Linked DNA regions of Saccharomyces cerevisiae S288C. Changing the gene in region 1 together with any one later gene gives a genetic interaction. Each region holds a gene or a part of one and is shown in the gene's direction. Other genes may lie near its edges.

Region 1 (3,924 bases):
AAAATTGAAGGGATCAATACCCAATAATTCACATGCGATTTGCAGGTTTTGCTCTTCCGATGATAGTGATGCGTCGTTTCTAGTCATTTTCATCTCGATATTACCTATATGTAGCAAGCCTGCAAGAATTTTGAAAATTCCAAGCTGAGTCTCGTGGTTTATACCTACTAATGACAGGGCATCAGTGGTTATCTTGTATTCTCGAGCTTCATCTATACCAGCTATGTTCGGCTGTCCACCTTGGTTAGTATAATGGTAGTCCTTGGGAGATGACAAATGCAGTTCTTGTTTTACCGGTTCTGGCAATCCTTCCAAAATTTGGTAAAAAATATGGTAATTTCTTTCTGTCTCTGGCTGATAAACTAACCTGGATTTTTCCAAGAGATAGGTTCTAATTTTGGACCCCCTGATGGTAGTATTCTCATCAAATAAAATTTGCAGATATTTGCCGAAACGAGAGGAATTATCATTTCTGGTAGTTTTGGCGTTACCAAAGGCTTCCATGATCGGGTTAGTAGCTAAAATTTGGCTCTCGATTTGAGACATTTCCACTTCCCCTTCACGATTGTTGCTTTCTTGGACTGAGGCAAAGTATCTCATAATGTATTTAGCAGAGACGGTCTTACCAGCACCGGATTCACCACTGACTACAACAGTCTGGTTAGCCTTTTCATGGACCATGAACCTGTACGCCTCCTCTGCTATGGCAAAAAGGTGCGGCTCCAGCTCATCTTTACGCTTACTAGAATAATTCTGTATCATCTCGCGAGAGTACAAATGGTCGACTTTATCAAAGGGATTAGCGGCAATAAGGACAATACCAGAGTAAGTATATATCTGTCCATTCATGTATCTTTTTTTTATGGCATGCAGCACTGCCGGTTCGTTCAGATATGATAGGGTGGTTAAGTCATCAGTAGACTCTAAAATAGGTGGGTTTCGTAGTACAGGTAGCGTGGGATGATCATCATCATTTTCGAAGCTATTTGTTTCAATGGATACAGTTTCTCCATCCTCCAATTTCAACTCTAAGTGGAACGTTCCTTCAAAGAAGTCATTCTTGGTGACTTCGCCGCCTATCCAGCCTTGTTCTTTGTGAGGGTACCAACACTTAGTTCCTACTTCAAATGACATGCGGGAGAACTGGTTATAGGATTTTTTTTGTTTTTTTGTGTTTTAGAATTAGATTGAATTATAAAAAGAAGAACAAAAGGGTATCGTATTGAAAATAAATTGTCTCGCCAAACTGGTAACAATGTTTTCAGCTAGAACAATAAGAAAAGAAGAGAAGGTAAAAAAAAAGGTGATAACTCCGTAGGAATTGAGGAATTGAGTATGCAGAATCAGAATAAAGGCTGACTTTCAAAAAAAGGTTGTATTACAATTGCAGGTTTTCGATAAAAGAGACCCTATTCTCATCTACTACTGCTAAACTTCGAGATATTTTCGAATTTTTCAGTCTTTTCTTTTTTTTTTTTCGCATTAGTTCAGAACCCTAAAGAATGGTAAACATTCTATGGATAACCCGGAGAGTGAGTTTCTTAAAGACCTAGTTTTATTTTAAGGGTTTTAACTCAATCTTGATGTTTTCATTGTGTACCCTAAAGAAAGTTTAAGAATAGCCCTAACTGTTACCTTTTGAAATAAAATAAGGGGAAGGTCAAAAAGCTATTGTTCTATTGTTATGAAACATTGTCTCAAAGAGTAAGAATAACACAAATTGATGGCAGTTTTTTACGTAGTCCAGTAGTTGTCCAGGTACAATGCAAAATGCTCAAATAAAGAGCTCTTCTAAAGGCAGCGGAATAGATGGTACAGATCGCAATAGCAAAGATGGTGTAGAAAAGAGACCCCTGGAAGATGTAAAGCAAATGATTGACGCTGGAACACCAGATGTTGGCCACAAATCTACTGTTGAAACTAAGCCAAACGTTGGATGGCAAGCCTCTCACAGTAATTTGGCTGCATTACACGAAAAAGAGCAGAAATATGAAATGGAGCACCATCATGCTCGTCATAAACTGCATCGTCAAGTTATTCCGGATTACACGTCTGCCTCGACCGCAATGTTCAGCGATTGTATGTTCAACGCAGCACCAGATAAAGTACGAAGTCTCAGTACGATGAAGTCTTCTGGACTCTCGCCAAAACACCCATTTAACGTAGTCGCCACCTTTAAAGGACCATTCCCGCAGCATAGTGTAGAATCAAAGCCTCTCGATGGTGGATACTCTGCCAAAGACCATTTTCCCTCATTTAAGATGTTGCAAGCCCAGCAGCACCCAGCCCATCGCCATTACAAAGACAACGACAAGTACGGTCTTAAATCACCTTCCCGGTCCTTCGTGAAGGACAAGAAAAGGTTGGTTCACCGGTTTTTGAAATCCATGGAGCCTTCTTCGTCTGGGCAATCTAAGGATTCGTCTGCACTGGCGCCGGCTTTCGATCCAATATTGCCCAATGTTATATCTAAGCCTTCCAAGCGACCCACACATCATTCGCATTCATCAGACGGGAGTTCTAGCACGCAGACAGATATATCGTTACAGAGCTTGCTTTACCATGATCTTGAAAGCTCACCAAAGAAACATGTTTCGCCCTCAAGACCGCCCTCTGTAGCTTCCGAATCCTCTCCTGCCGTTGCTAATCCCATTGGGCTTTCGCCAAAAGACGCCTGCAATGCATCGTTTTCGCAGTCGTCCTCATCTTCGTTGTCTTCTTCTTCATCGTCTTCATCATCGACGTCATTCTCACAGTCAGTGGCTGTTGATCCTCTTGAACCTCCTGGAAATATCACATATAGTAGTTCGAATCTTTCGCTAAATTCAGATGAATTAGACTACTATCAGCGTCATATCGGATTGCAGTTACAGCAGACAGAAGCTTTACTAAAGCACAGTTTGAAAGATGAGGTTCTGAAAGATGAAAATGACCTTGTTAAAAACATTGCAAATTTTGACAAGATCGTTAAAGAGCTAAGGGACTTAAGATCCAGGACCATTGGATGGAAAGAGCTTGTTGAAGAGGATTATTTAATGAATTTGAAACAGGATTTTGACAAGGAAAACCCCGAATCATTTGAGGCACGTTTGAGTGATACAATAAATACAAACGTGGCAAAATTACAAGATTTAGAGAAAAGAATGGCTTCTTGCAAAGACAGGTTGGCCTCTAGGAAGGAAGTAATGAGGAAAATGGAAAGTTTATTGTCTTTGGAGAATTCCTTAATGATATCCAAAAAAAATGTAACATTCGCATCTAAATACCGCAACGAGGCCCTTGATATTGTCTTTTTAATTATCATCATCGTCATATGCTATACCTTCAAGCATCTAGTATCGCATAAATAAAAAATAGTATTTGTATATCAAAAAATGATCCTGTGATTTTTTCATATGTAACGTATAAATGTAAAAATGTGCTTCTTCTGGTATTTTTAATCAAGTGGAAAGATGAGTGGAAAAAAGGGCAATGAAATAGAAAAGGACAGGCCTGAAAGGGAAGAATACAAGAAGATTGAGTATATTGGACTTCACAGTAACCGTGAAAAATGGCACCAAGTATAGCAACGGTAAAGATAGCCAGGGACATGGTTTTGCCATTACGTATATTTGTCAATAGAAAGCAGATCCTTCAAACCAATGATAAGACTAGCAATAAGTCGAATGCCACTATATTTGAAGCACCATTATTATCAAATAACTCCATAATCTGCTTAAAATCACCAAATACAAGAATATATTTATCGCAACAAGATAAGAAGAATCTTTGTGACGAGATCAAGGAGGACCTGTTATTGATTGTTTACGAACTAGCGTCCCCGGAAATCATCAGTTCCGTACTCAGCAAAATAAGAGTTGGTCATTCTACTGATTTCCAAATCAACGTTCTGCCCAAACTTTTTGCAGGTGCCGATACGGATAA
Region 2 (3,139 bases), on another chromosome or scaffold:
AGTGTCGATTTTTTTCAATTGAACGTTAAGAGTGTCCAATTTCTTGTCTCTAACGGAGACATCTGGGCGCTTGAACTTGTGTTGTTGGGAGGACATGGCAATGGCTGTGTTGTTAGAAAATATGCTATTACGTTGATAAAAGGAGGAAAGGTGAAATCAGTTCAAAAATGTGAATGAAACTGAACGAAGAAATGACCAGAATGAGTGAAAAATGGAGATGGAGGGGCAAAATGAAAAAAAAAAAAAGGATGAACCTAAAATAGAAAATAGACTCCGTCGTACTTTAATGCTATGTATAACGCAACCAAGCAATTTTCGAAACTCAATTTGGCTTATAAATGTTCGAGATAAAATGCGAATTACGTGTTCAACGTCGTCGAGATCAGTTATTTTTTTTCACCGCCACAGTGCGGGTAAGCAATTTTTCGCGTACCACCACCATTACACATGTATAATGTATATAGGCTTATTATGTATGTTTGTGCTACTTTATATGACGGTTATTTACAAGTTAGAATATTATCTATTAACAATGCAGTAGCCACGCTTACGTTTAGTGAGTCAACAATGGGTTCTGGGGCCCGATTGCCTTTCTCAATGCCACCAAAGGGAATTTCGACGAAGAAGTCACTCCTCATCTTCAAATTCGTTCTTACGCCCTGGCTTTCGTTCCCCACCACTAGAACAACAGGCAGCTCGTTACATAATCCGTTCAAATCGTGCATGCTAATAGTTTTTCCAACAGTGTATTTTTCTGACGTGGCATTAGCTAAGTGGCTTGTAATAAACGTCCAGCCACCCATTTCTTGTGATTTAGTAAAAAACTCTAACGGTTTATCAACGTAAAATATGGGCAGAAGTTCGAGGGCCCCACTGCTTGTCTTGGACACCACAGGCGTCAAAGGAGAGCAGTTTCTTCTCGACATCACAATGAAGTCAACCCCCAGGAAGTAAGCGCTTCTAATAATGGCACCGATATTGTGAGGGTCAGTTATTTCATCCAGATATAACCCGAGAGGAAACTTCTTAGCGTCTGTTTTCGTACCATAAGGCAGTTCATGAGGTATATTTTCGTTATTGAAGCCCAGCTCGTGAATGCTTAATGCTGCTGAACTGGTGTCCATGTCGCCTAGGTACGCAATCTCCACAGGCTGCAAAGGTTTTGTCTCAAGAGCAATGTTATTGTGCACCCCGTAATTGGTCAACAAGTTTAATCTGTGCTTGTCCACCAGCTCTGTCGTAACCTTCAGTTCATCGACTATCTGAAGAAATTTACTAGGAATAGTGCCATGGTACAGCAACCGAGAATGGCAATTTCTACTCGGGTTCAGCAACGCTGCATAAACGCTGTTGGTGCCGTAGACATATTCGAAGATAGGATTATCATTCATAAGTTTCAGAGCAATGTCCTTATTCTGGAACTTGGATTTATGGCTCTTTTGGTTTAATTTCGCCTGATTCTTGATCTCCTTTAGCTTCTCGACGTGGGCCTTTTTCTTGCCATATGGATCCGCTGCACGGTCCTGTTCCCTAGCATGTACGTGAGCGTATTTCCTTTTAAACCACGACGCTTTGTCTTCATTCAACGTTTCCCATTGTTTTTTTCTACTATTGCTTTGCTGTGGGAAAAACTTATCGAAAGATGACGACTTTTTCTTAATTCTCGTTTTAAGAGCTTGGTGAGCGCTAGGAGTCACTGCCAGGTATCGTTTGAACACGGCATTAGTCAGGGAAGTCATAACACAGTCCTTTCCCGCAATTTTCTTTTTCTATTACTCTTGGCCTCCTCTAGTACACTCTATATTTTTTTATGCCTCGGTAATGATTTTCATTTTTTTTTTTCCACCTAGCGGATGACTCTTTTTTTTTCTTAGCGATTGGCATTATCACATAATGAATTATACATTATATAAAGTAATGTGATTTCTTCGAAGAATATACTAAAAAATGAGCAGGCAAGATAAACGAAGGCAAAGATGACAGAGCAGAAAGCCCTAGTAAAGCGTATTACAAATGAAACCAAGATTCAGATTGCGATCTCTTTAAAGGGTGGTCCCCTAGCGATAGAGCACTCGATCTTCCCAGAAAAAGAGGCAGAAGCAGTAGCAGAACAGGCCACACAATCGCAAGTGATTAACGTCCACACAGGTATAGGGTTTCTGGACCATATGATACATGCTCTGGCCAAGCATTCCGGCTGGTCGCTAATCGTTGAGTGCATTGGTGACTTACACATAGACGACCATCACACCACTGAAGACTGCGGGATTGCTCTCGGTCAAGCTTTTAAAGAGGCCCTAGGGGCCGTGCGTGGAGTAAAAAGGTTTGGATCAGGATTTGCGCCTTTGGATGAGGCACTTTCCAGAGCGGTGGTAGATCTTTCGAACAGGCCGTACGCAGTTGTCGAACTTGGTTTGCAAAGGGAGAAAGTAGGAGATCTCTCTTGCGAGATGATCCCGCATTTTCTTGAAAGCTTTGCAGAGGCTAGCAGAATTACCCTCCACGTTGATTGTCTGCGAGGCAAGAATGATCATCACCGTAGTGAGAGTGCGTTCAAGGCTCTTGCGGTTGCCATAAGAGAAGCCACCTCGCCCAATGGTACCAACGATGTTCCCTCCACCAAAGGTGTTCTTATGTAGTGACACCGATTATTTAAAGCTGCAGCATACGATATATATACATGTGTATATATGTATACCTATGAATGTCAGTAAGTATGTATACGAACAGTATGATACTGAAGATGACAAGGTAATGCATCATTCTATACGTGTCATTCTGAACGAGGCGCGCTTTCCTTTTTTCTTTTTGCTTTTTCTTTTTTTTTCTCTTGAACTCGAGAAAAAAAATATAAAAGAGATGGAGGAACGGGAAAAAGTTAGTTGTGGTGATAGGTGGCAAGTGGTATTCCGTAAGAACAACAAGAAAAGCATTTCATATTATGGCTGAACTGAGCGAACAAGTGCAAAATTTAAGCATCAACGACAACAACGAGAATGGTTATGTTCCTCCTCACTTAAGAGGAAAACCAAGAAGTGCCAGAAATAACAGTAGCAACTACAATAACAACAACGGCGGCTACAACGGTGGCCGTGGCGGTGGCAGCTTCTTTAGCAACAACCGTCGTGGTGGTTACGGC
Region 3 (4,022 bases), on another chromosome or scaffold:
TACCGTTGATCTTGGTGTCACCGCCTTGGTTCATGTAGAAGTAATCTGAGGCATCGGTAAGATGCAATTCCTCCTTGGTTTGAGCTGGTAATCCAGCCATTAATTGATAAAATATGTGGTAGTTTCTCTCAATTGGCGGCTGGTAAACTAATCTGGACCGTTCCAACAAGTATGTGCGGATCCTTGCTCCAATAATAGATGTGTCCTTATCGAATAAAATTTCTAGATACTTACCAAATCTGGAAGAATTGTCATTTCTGGTAGTCTTAGCATTACCAAATGCTTCCATGATAGGGTTTGTAGCTAGAATCTTTTGTTCTGTTTCCGACATTTCCACTTGATGTTGTACAGTAGCGGAATTTTCCTCTTCTACAGAAGCAAAATAACGCATAATATACTTGGCAGAAACCGTTTTTCCAGCACCAGATTCACCACTTACCACAATGGTTTGATTTTGTTTGTCATTTTTCATCAACCTATACGCTTCTTCGGCAATGGCAAACAAGTGAGGTTCCAGTTCACCTCTGCGCTTTCCCGCATATGCTTGGATCATGTCTTGTGTATAAAGCTGGTCGACACGATCAAAAGGGTTTGTAGCAATCAGAACAATACCCGAGTATGTGTAGATATTCAATTGAGAATAGCGCTGTTTGATGGCATGTAAAACAGCTGGCTCATTCAAGTAAGATAAAGAGGTCAAATCTTCCGTTGCTTCCAAAATGGGAGGGTTTCTAAGAAGCGGTAGAGATTGGTCCTTATCGTTATTCAAGTCTTTTGTGTCCACGGACACGATTTCATCGTCTTCCAATTGTAACTCCAGGTGGTACTTGCCGTCGTTGAACTCATTTTTGATTACTTCCGCCCCAATCCAGCCCAATTCTTTATGGGGATACCAGCATCGTGTACCCACTTCAAAAGACATTATACGCTGTAATATCTGCTGTTTTTATGTCCTATATGTACAATGGTATAAGTATCGCTGTCCAATGGAATGGTGTCGAATAGTACCTTAGAAAACAAAAAACAAGCAAGCAGCCAGAAATCGAACGAATAATTTCAAGCGAGAAAAGTGAAATGACTTTGCGAGACTTTTTTGTTCTCTGATTGGCCTTGCAAAGTTGATAGATCTCTGAAACGCAGGCTACGAATCGTATCAAATGAAGGCGTGTTTGGGATTTCTGATATTTGGCTTTTCGAGAAGCGCGATCATAAACAAAAAAAAGGAAAAAATCACAAAATAGCCCTGGGTCGGGTAATAGTTTTTGCCCTACGTTTTCGTAAATGTGTCACTAGGTGCAATTGCCAATAATTAATTGTAACCTACTCAATATCTATTTTAGCCCTACATACGTTAGGGTCGAAAATCTGTTGGGGTTTTGGTTTTAACAGCGTAAACTAAACCAGATAAGCATCGAGAAACGGCGCTTGGCACATCGTATATCAACAAGACAAACCAGTGACCGGAGTTCTGAGGCGTCTTCGAGCCTATTTATTTATTGATCTGGGTCGGATAGTTCACCCTATTTGTGGAGGAAAAGACCTTCCCATATCTAAATTTTTTTTTTTTTTTGGTTTAAGTTATAGTTGATACATTAAGTGAAAATGAACTTGCTAATTGACCGGATGGAGAATCCCGGATCGAGGAACTGTACCCTGTTACCTCCTTCATTCCCAAGAGGCTTTTGTAAGGGAAGAAGGGCTTCCAGTGGCGACGCAGTGAAGATAAAAGAATCCGGTCTACAGCCGCAGCCGCAGCCGGAACCTCTACAAGCTAAAACAAATGTTGCACACTTTTCGAAATCATCTTCTAGATTACCTGTCATAGCAGTGAATGATAATCCGGTGGTCCCAAGACCAAGCACTGAAGTAAACTTGGGATCGTTGTTACAAAAGGAAAGGGAGAAAGAAAAGGAGGAACAGCCTGCGCTGCATGATAGGAGACATTTATATGTGACAAAGAATAGGGCACATGGGGTACGACAACGTTCATTGGAAATGACTAGCTTACCTGTCCTGGGATCGACCAAAACCGGGAAGTTTAGCGATTTTTTGTTTGAAGATGACATCGATAACAGAGTAGGTCGACACAGTAGATCATATAGTGGGGCATCCAGTTTGGATGATCCATTCAGAGTGTCGCCGAAAACCGACTTCAACTCTAATAGGGCCAGATTGTCTTGCCTTAGTAAAGGACGTCGTGGTTCGATGTCCGTTTTCCAAAGCTGTCATACTGGGCTAGCTTTCAATCAAATACAGGGTTCCTCCTCTTCGCAACGTAGATCATCCGCTGGTTCTTTTGATTATGAGAGGAAACGATTGGTTAACCAATTTTTACAGCCTTCTTTGGGAAATTCAGACCCATTTGATACGTTGAGGGAGTCGGTAGTGTTTGAGCCCTCATCCACCGCTGGCGGCATTAAATTAGGGAATATGCATTCTCAATCACAAATTTCCGTAAACTCCTCCCCCAGCACATCTTTGTTTTATCATGATTTGGACGGTTCTGCTGTCAACGATTCTTCGTCATTTCTGTATTCCCGTTCTAATGTACCAGCATTTTTGTCGTCATCAGCCTTTTCGTCCACGTCATCCACCTCATCAGATTCAGAAGATGTGGATAGAAGAAGTTTAAACGGTGTATATCCCTCTTTAGGATATTTGACTAACCAGAGGAAACCAAGGAATTCATCAGGCTCTTCCACTGCACCTGGCACCGATACCTTGGGATTTAAGTATTTACTGAATAGGCAGAAGTCAGCGGATTCTTCCACTAGGTTCAAGAGTGTACTGAAGGTGAACAATAATAATGGCTCCGCAGCCACTCCTGATTCTAGCTCAAACTCTATTTCGAAGAGCAACTCAAATTTGAATGATAACATTGATGAATTGAATTATTATCAAAATCATATTTCGACACTTCTAGTGAAGATCGAGAATGAGATGAGAAGAAATTTAAACGATACAATAATCAAGAATGAAAACAACGTTCAAAAAACTATCCAAAAGTATGATCTTCTATCAGGAGAGTTAACCCTTTTATTAGACGAAATGACCACCTTGCGAACCACGGTGATTAATCAATTCTTGGTCAAGTTGAAATCAGACTTTGACGAGGATGACAATAAGGCGTTTATTAATGAATTAAAGATATCAGTCGAAGAAAGTGTAGCGCAATTACAAGGATTGGAAAGGAGAATGGAGGTTTGCCAAGAGAGATTAAATAAACAAAAGTCCTCTCTAAGGGAAATGGATAGTTTGATAGAGCTGAAAAACGTGTTAAATAAATCGAAGAACAACACGAAATCCATCTACCTGTATAGGTATTTCATCATTGACATTATTGCATTTCTTTTGATGGGCGGCTTTATCGTTTACGTCAAGAATTTGTTAACTCGTTTTTTTACTCGTTAAAAAGTCAAAACAAGGTCACTTTACAAAAATGGTACGCGTACAAAGATAAAATCACCTCTGAACATAATAATATACATCTATATACATATATATATATATATATATCACACATCAATCAACGCGCATGGACATTTGAATCAATGGGGCAGGAAAGGCGATGCAGTGGCCAAATTTCTTTGTTCATTTGTGGCGTTGGGTCAATGAGTCAAAAAATGAAAAAAGTCGACAGACGTTTTTCAAAAAGCTTCAAGAAAAGAAGAGAAAAAGTAAAAGCGTATTGGTAAAAAGAGTAAGAACAAAAAGGAGCACAGGCAACCAATATAAAGATGTCCAGTTCACAACAAATAGCCAAAAATGCCCGTAAAGCAGGGAATATTTTGAAAACCATCTCAAACGAGGGCAGATCAGATATTTTATACAAAATTCACGATGCCCTGAAGGCTAATGCGCATGCCATTGAAGAAGCGAATAAAATCGATTTAGCTGTTGCCAAAGAGACTGGCCTAGCGGATTCTTTATTGAAACGTCTCGACCTATTTAAAGGGGACAAATTTGAAGTTATGTTACAAGGTATTAAGGATGTAGCCGAACTAGAAGACCCTGTTGGCAAG

The links.
Region 2: of FRT2 (region 1) and HIS3, extra expression of one rescues a mutant of the other (dosage rescue), as found in Saccharomyces cerevisiae (one study listed by BioGRID).
Region 3: mutations in FRT2 (region 1) and FRT1 are lethal when combined (synthetic lethality), as found in Saccharomyces cerevisiae (2 studies listed by BioGRID, with this or other methods).

Annotation. Positions count from the first base shown.
Region 1 is NC_001133.9:91,137-95,060, forward strand, and holds FRT2 (Frt2p), read left to right. Parts: upstream 1-1,763; coding exon 1,764-3,350; downstream 3,351-3,924. Other genes in the region: MYO4 (myosin 4), read right to left, coding at 1-1,134; DNA-binding protein SAW1, read left to right, coding at 3,551-3,924. UniProt on the Saccharomyces cerevisiae protein: Required for growth under high NaCl, alkaline pH and cell wall stress.
Region 2 is NC_001147.6:719,970-723,108, forward strand, and holds HIS3 (imidazoleglycerol-phosphate dehydratase HIS3), read left to right. Parts: upstream 1-1,976; coding exon 1,977-2,639; downstream 2,640-3,139. Other genes in the region: BFR1 (Bfr1p), read right to left, coding at 1-96; MRM1 (Mrm1p), read right to left, coding at 501-1,739; DEAD-box ATP-dependent RNA helicase DED1, read left to right, coding at 2,942-3,139.
Region 3 is NC_001147.6:922,621-926,642, reverse strand, and holds FRT1 (Frt1p), read left to right. Parts: upstream 1-1,602; coding exon 1,603-3,411; downstream 3,412-4,022. Other genes in the region: MYO2 (myosin 2), read right to left, coding at 1-922; PRO2 (glutamate-5-semialdehyde dehydrogenase), read left to right, coding at 3,738-4,022.